Rattus norvegicus: one gene and its partner. The protein of the gene in region 1 interacts with the protein of each later gene in a pairwise test. Links are inferred from orthologs where the notes say so. Each region holds a gene or a part of one and is shown on either strand. Other genes may lie near its edges.

Evidence for each region.
Region 2: the proteins of Bag4 (region 1) and Alg13 interact in binary tests that used the Homo sapiens proteins (3 or more experiments, as listed by UniProt). The link is inferred for Rattus norvegicus from reciprocal best matches to the Homo sapiens genes BAG4 and ALG13.

Annotation. Positions count from the first base shown.
Region 1 is NC_086034.1:73,001,183-73,005,008, forward strand, and holds part of Bag4 (BAG family molecular chaperone regulator 4), read left to right. Parts: exon of another isoform or gene 1-3,593; coding exon 3,594-3,826. UniProt on the Homo sapiens protein: Inhibits the chaperone activity of HSP70/HSC70 by promoting substrate release. Prevents constitutive TNFRSF1A signaling. Negative regulator of PRKN translocation to damaged mitochondria.
Region 2 is NC_086039.1:112,726,884-112,730,709, forward strand, and holds part of Alg13 (putative bifunctional UDP-N-acetylglucosamine transferase and deubiquitinase ALG13), read left to right. Parts: intron 1-2,235; coding exon 2,236-2,424; intron 2,425-3,230; coding exon 3,231-3,270; intron 3,271-3,826. UniProt on the Homo sapiens protein: Catalytic subunit of the UDP-N-acetylglucosamine transferase complex that operates in the biosynthetic pathway of dolichol-linked oligosaccharides, the glycan precursors employed in protein asparagine (N)-glycosylation.

The DNA of each region.
Region 1 (3,826 bases):
ATGATGGCACATCTTTAATCCCAGCATTTGGGAGGCAGAGGCAGGCAGACCTCTTGAGTTTGAGGTCAGTGTGGTTTACAGAGTGAATTCCAGGACAGTCAGGGCCACACAGAAAAACCCTGTTTAGTAAAACCAAAAAAAGAAAAAGAAAAGAAAAAAGAGGCAGAGCTAAGGAGAATCACAAGTTCAGCACTAGCAGAAGCTTCACAGAGAACTTAAGAAGCCCCCTTTCATATAGACAGACATATAAAACTGAAAAACAAGGAAAGAATGAAAATAACTTTGCTTGTGCCGTCCTAATGTGACTGTGTCTGTGAAATGCGGCTTAAGCCTTTCCTCCATTGTCTGTTTACACCTGAAGCCATTATACACCTTTTAATGATTAAATTCAGCTTTGGTATTCTGTTTGTGTATGAGTGTGTGCTGTGGTGGCCAAAGTGTGCCATGGTGCACTTGTGGAAGTCAGAAGAGAGCTTTTTAGAAGTTCTTTTCCCTGGATCAAGGGATAAGCCTCACGTCATGCCATTAGGCTTGCAAAACAAGCACTTTTACCCATTAAGCTATCTCCACTGCCCCATTGCACACTTCTGTGTTTGCCTGTCACATGCAGTTTACAGACTCAATGACAAGAACTTCTTTGTTCTCACCCCCGTAGCTCTTGGCCTTTTGAATTAGGGTCTGTGATCAACCATCCAGCTTCTTCTTCATTTCCTTTTATAATAAGGAAAATTTCAAACAAAGGTAGAAACAAATGTTCCTCTCAGCTTCAACAAGTCTCAGTACTTGACCATATTATATTTATCTTGGGAGTGTTTTGAAACAAATACCAAATAGTGTAGTTTTGTTGCTTGTAAATAAATGTGTGTTTATTTAAAAACAACAAAACAAAAAATCCTTCCATTTTGTGGTAGTTTAAATGAGACTGTCCCCAGTAGACTCTGACATTTGAACCATTGGTTCCCAGTTGGTGGTACTTTTGGGACATTTAAGAAAGTATGTTTGTTAAAGTATGTCTTGTTTAAGGAAGTATGTCATGGGTGGGAGTGGAGGGTTGGGGGTAGGCTGATAGGCTTTAATAAAGACTTGAGCCACTCCCAGCTTGTTTTTTTAATTTGTGCTTGTAGTTTACAGCGTGAGCTCTCAGGGTTGGTGAGATGGCTCAGTAGTTAAGAGGACTGGCTGCTCTTCCAGAGAACCTGGGTTCAGTTCCCAGCACCCACATGGTAGCTTACAACTGTCTGTAACTCCAGTTCAGGGGACCCAACATCTTCACACAGACACACATGCAGGCAAAGCATCAATGCATGTGTAATAAAAATAAGTAAATTAAATTTTTTTCTAAAAATAAAAATAGAATAGTCCTAAAGCATTTAGATTCTATAATATTTTGTGTAACTTATTTTTAAAGTGTTATTTTTATATTTGTATGTATATATGTATGCGTGTGTTTGTTTGTGTTTTACCTGCGCGCATATATATATATATATATGTATACACACACACACACACACACACACACGTATGCAGTGCCTGTAGAGACTAGAAGGGCATCAGAATTCCAGAAGTAGAATTACTAATGGTTGTAACCTGGGTCCTCTGGAAGAGCAACCAAGTGCCCTTAACTGTTGAGACATCTCTCTGTCCCTGTACTATTTTGTCTAATTACAAATATTATACTTGACAGCTTTGTGCCTGTGACTTTTTAAGACTTATTTATTTTAATTATATGAGCATATTGTATCTATCTCCAGACACAACTAAAAGAGGGCATCAGATCCTGTTACAGGTGGTTGTGAGCCACCATGTGGTTGCTGGGAGTCGAACTCAGGACCCCTGGAAGAGCAGTTGGTGCTCTTAACCCCTGAGCCATCTCTCTAACCTGTGACTTTTTTTATAGTGGAGTGATTTCCTTGGGAAGCTGGAGTACAGACCAAAAAGTCACATGATACTGTATCAAATCTTGGCCTTTATATTCTATTAAAGAGTTCTTCTTTCAGACTGAAAACCTCAAGGGCTTATGAGGAATACATTACTTGGCTCTTTAATCTTTTATTGTTTCTGACCACACACACACTTCTTCAGGTATATTTTGTTTCTCTGGTTTTAATTTGTTTCTAAACCAGGTTCTACTAATGTAGGCCAAGGTCTTCTACCTTGTAGTCCTCCTGCCTCATCTTCCTTAGTACTGGGGATTACAAGTGTGTACACACAATTAGGGCTCCTCCCTTCCCTCGAATAATGTCACACTATGTAGACGACTAGCTACAAACTTGAAATTCTTCCTGGTACATCCTGCTGGGAGTAACATTTACAAGAAAACATGATTCTGTGTGTCTCCTATTTTAAAAAAACTAAAGTGAAACTAGGGAGATAGTTTAGTGGACAAAATGCCTTCCATGCAAACGTGATGATCTCAGTTTGGATTCCCAGAACCGCATAAAGACCGAATGCAGTAGCCCATGTGTCTGTATTCTCTAGCCTGCCTGGGATTTAAAACAGTAAATAAGAGGCCCTGTGTCAAACAAATTTAAAGGCAAGTTGAAAGACAAGGTCTCACTATCTAGGTTGTCCTCTGACCTCCACAAGCATGCTGTGACACATGCATCCTCCATATCATGCACATTCTCTCTCTCTCTCTCTCTCTCTCTCTCTCTCTCTCTCTCTCACACACACACACACACACACACACACACACACACACAGAGGTGGGGGGGCAAACAAATAATACAAAACATAAGGTAATAGTTGAAGTTAAGGCTTAGCTTTAATCTTATTTGGAGCACTAAGCAGGATCTGGATATGAGCAATGTAATAGTCTGTGTAGGTGATTTAAGACCACAGGAAAACAGATTGGCATTGTATCTTGGAGGTGGCACACCTGTCTGACACACACAAGGCCCTGGGTTTAGTTCCCAGCACTGTTTAAAACAATAACCAAACTATAATAACCACAGTAGTAAACAGTATAGTGAAGAATTTCCCTGTTATCTGTTGTTGTCATCAGGAAAGCAGGGTGATTGCTTAGTTCAATATGACTGGGGTCATTTCTCGAACTCATCGTGATACTTATAGTAATGTAGTCACCATCTTTTGAACAAATTGTGTATCTGCTAAATCTTTTTTTGTTGTTGTTTTGTTATCTCAGTTTTTCCTAATAATCCTGCAAGGAAAGTTTTGGCCTTCATTTTCCTATTAGAGAAACTGAAGCTAAGAGTAACTAAATATAAACTATTAGAGAATGTTTCTGATTTTTTTCTTTCTATTATATGATTTTTTCCCCCTCTACCTTGTTCCCCAGGATTCCTAGAGTTGCCTTCTGTGAGCAAACGTTCTCCTCTTAGACATGTAGTTGTGAGTTAAATGTAAGAAAATGTTATCTGTCATCACAATATAGGCTTCCATCGATGTCCCATAACTTCAGTTTATAATCTGAGTTCAGTGCCTGGCGTGTGATATAGAGACTAGAGAAGAGAAAGAGCACCTCAGAGACTGCTTACTGACACCTTTACTTCCTAAAGTTTTCAAGGTTGAACATTAAGGGCATTTTAGCCCTTCAGCCCATTATCTTTTCCTCTCTGATTACCTTTTTTCAGAGTCTGAATTCTTACGCAAATGGAGCATATGGCCCACCTTACCCTCCTGGCCCTGCAACAGCAAGTGCTGCCTCTTACTCTGGGGCTTACTACGTACCTGGCTATGCTCAAGGCACTTACTCCACGGACATTCCTAGCACCTACCGTTCACCTGGTAACAGCCCGACTCCAGTGTCGCGTTGGATGTATCCCCAGCAGGACTGTCCGACAGAAGCGCCTCCTCTGCGGGGTCA
Region 2 (3,826 bases), on another chromosome or scaffold:
TTTTACTTCTAGGGAGTATACCGTCTTAAATCATTAAGCCAGACAGTACATTTATTTTCTGTGTTAGTTTTATTTGTAGATAAAATGCATTGCACAGTGCTCAGAACAAGAACATGTAATAAATGATTATGAGGGGACTCTTTCATTAGAAATGTCATTTTGGGACCCTGGCTTGACTACTTTGCCACTAAATATGGCAAAGCATTGCTTGTTTGCTTTCAGCAGAGGTCTGAGCTTAAAGAATTGAAATCACAGCTAAGTAAAGGATATTCATACTTCAGATAGATTGAATCATTACAATACTTAACCCTGTGACTCTTAAGATTGCTCAGTGGCTAAGTAAAGGTGTTTTCTACCAAGCATGGTGGTCTGAGTTGGGAGAAGAGAACGAACTACTGATAGTTGTTCTCTGTCCCCTCTCAGAAAGACACAGACACACACACAGACACAGACACAGACACCCACACACACACCCACACACACCCACACACATATATACATACATTACCCATCTTGAATTTCAGGTTAGTTTCAGGTTAGCCATGGCTGTATACTAGAGGAAAAAAAAAGTGTTTATTGTAGTACGCATTTATAAGGAATGCCAATTAGAGGAGAATAGCACTCTAATTTCTTTAAATTTGATTCTCTTGGGTTTGTGACTATTTTGTTACCTCTAGGTCTAGTAGTTGGCTTTTACCTAGTGAGCATATTCATATTTGTTTCTGGCTAACTGATCTGATTTCATTTTCTTGGCACTGTCCATTAAACCTTGGGCCTTGTGCGTGCTACTCAAGCACTTAGTCCTAAGCCATCCCTAGCTGTCTTTCCACATTTAAGTCTACAGTAAAGTCTCACTATATTGCCTAGGCTGGTCCTGAGCTTACTCTGTAGCTCAGGCAGGCCTTGAATTTGAGATCCTTCTGCCTTGCCTAGCTAGGCAGCTAGTCTTGTTCTTCCACATCCAAAAACCTAGTATGATTTATTTTGAGTATTAGTTTAAAAGAGATATGGAAAATAACTTTTTTGGAAAAGCCATGCTTACAGAAACATTCAAGCATTAGTAGTTACTGTGATAATTAAATGACTTTGCTAAAACTATAAAAACACACATTTCTAATATATAAAACAACTCCAAAGGAGTTATGTAAGTTGTTAAAGTTTTTTATGTAGTTTAGCTTTAATAAATTTCACCTTCTCTTGTCCAGTTCTGTGCACTTTTCTCAAGTGTGCTCTTATGTAAGCAACATTAAATCAAGAGAGGATTGCTTCTTTATCCCTCCCATCCCCCAAAAAGAAAAGCTGTTTATGAATTTATTTTTGCTTTGGTGTCATCTGTAGATATATGTCCTATTACTATTAGCATGTAGTTGTACTATTAGTGTTGCTTGTGAATGAAGGCAAAGTATATTTGTTCTGGCTAAATTTCCAGAGTAACAAATTCAGCTTGTGGTTTGTAAGCTCAACTCTGTGTTAGAGCTCTGAATTTAATGCTATATTGAATAATGAGATGAAACTGTTTATGGCTTTTAGTGTTAAAATTATCATGTAGATAGCACAACTTTATAGTTTAGTACATCATTTTAAAAATTGACTAAAATTTTCTAGTTAAATTCCAAGGGTTGTGTTATTTAACATCTGTCAAAATATCACATTTTAAGTAATATATTACATGAATATAGCTATTTTTACTAGGTTGGAAACAGTTTATTATCCTAGGGGTTTAATATGCAAACAAATACATTTTAACTTTGTATTAAAACTGAAACTCCTAGATGTATAATTTTAAATAAAGTTAGTAATGAATATAGGACATTACAGGGATAAAATATTGTATTTAGCCCATTTTTTAGATTTTGTGTCTCCTTAAAACTGGAAATTCATGATTTAAAATTGCTTATGTTCTCCCGAAGGTGCCAGGAGAATGTGTAAGGTTGTTAAAATCTCTATTGTGTTCAATTTTGTTTCTTGACTTCTGTCTTAATGATTTGACCCAGAGTGATAGGTTGCTGGAAACATCTTTGAATTTGCACTGGGTAACCAACCTCCCTCCAAGTGTTTGTTTTTAAGTCAATCCATGAGAATTCAGTGTTCTGTGATTATACTGGGGATGAAAAAAAAAGCAGGTCAGCTACTACTTATAAGGGACAATAGCTGTGCATTGCTATTTCTTGTTTTATTTCTTTGTTAATTATTGCCATCCTATCCCTAATAATTTTCCTATTTTTATTGCTCTAGCCTATCTTCAGCCTTCAGCAGCAGCAGCACCACCAGTGGCAACACCGGTGGCAGCACCACTACCACTGCCACCTCCATTGCCTCCTCCTCCTGCCACTCCTCTTGAAGCAGGAGATGCTTCAGGGTTTCCTCTTCCACCACCGCCGCCGCCTTATTCCTATGATCCAAGTGGAAGTGATCTCCCCCAAGGTAGTTTATTTTGAGATTTGATCCGGGTTATTTAGACTTGAGATGGCTTCCACGTGGTTGATGGGTACAGAACCAAATGAGAGTAATTTGAGGATATAATTCAAGGTGACTAACAAAGGGAGCAACTGCAAGTATCTTCTGCATAGATGACTAGTAGATAGTTGGATCGAGTCATGACTCTTCCTCTGCTCCTCTTTTGTAGCTACATGTCTTTCCCGAAAGAAATTTACAAATGAGTAGCTTTGTTTTTTTCTCAAGTATTTTATTTTAAATTGGGATTTAATATTAAACATTTTCTTCTGTGTCGTTCCTGAAGTGTATGAAATTGTTAACCTTTTTAATACTTGGTTGGTATACCAACTGAATTTGGAGGAAATAGAGAAAGCTTCTATTCATCTGATCTGCTTTGGAGATAAACCTTGTATTCTTACTTTCTTAAACAATCAGCAGTGATTTTTTTCCATTGGAAGTTTTTTGTTGCCCGAGTTTAGCTGTATTACTCGAAGAGAATTGTAAGTCATTAGCAGCTTGCTTATTATAGTTTTCTTGCTTTTCCTGATTTTTTTCTGATCTGTGCTTTTTTTTTCCGAGTTCTTTCCAGCAGCTGAACTAGTCACCTAGATTTTCTCCAGGTCTGTTGTTTTGATCTTTTTCCATATAGTATGTCTTCTTAGTCTATTCTAAATCTACTTAGCATTACTTGGAAATTTTGGTGACTTACTAGGCATTTTCACTTAGCTTTTTAACTTTCAAACTTAAAGGTCTCTAATGAAATTCCTCATCTTTTCCCTCTTGTCTTTCACCAGTCAATACAAACATTTATTCCTCTTCTTGGTTTCATATTTTGTAAGTATTATTGTTGTTTCTACCTAATTAACCTAATATCTAAATCCTGAGTCCTTTATTCTGTCAACCTTTTGTGCCCAAGTAGTAGTCATCCATCAAAGAATGCAGGTTTTCTATTTTCTAGCAGTTTACTGTGAAAAGACTCAGATAAACAGTGCTAATTTTTTTAAAAAAATTAATAATTGCCAGGAAGATTGTGTTGTTTAATATTCAACTACATTGTTTTATCACATATTTGCTCATTGTTCCTTTTATCCTTCTGACTAGAAATTAACCTACCTTGTTTTTGATGGCTTTAAAGGTAAATTGTATATATTAGAGCTCCCCAACCATAATGGATAATAATAAATATGAGTATATATACACAGTGGAATACTATTCACCTACATAAAAGACAAAATCCTGTCCTTTGTAAATGAATATAAAGAACATACATAGTTTTTGATAAAATAAGCCAGGTACAGAAAGACTCTGTCTCTCAACTTACTTGTGATATGTGAAAACATGCTTCTTATCTCATAGAAATTCAGACTAAGATTGTAATTGTTAAAGGTTG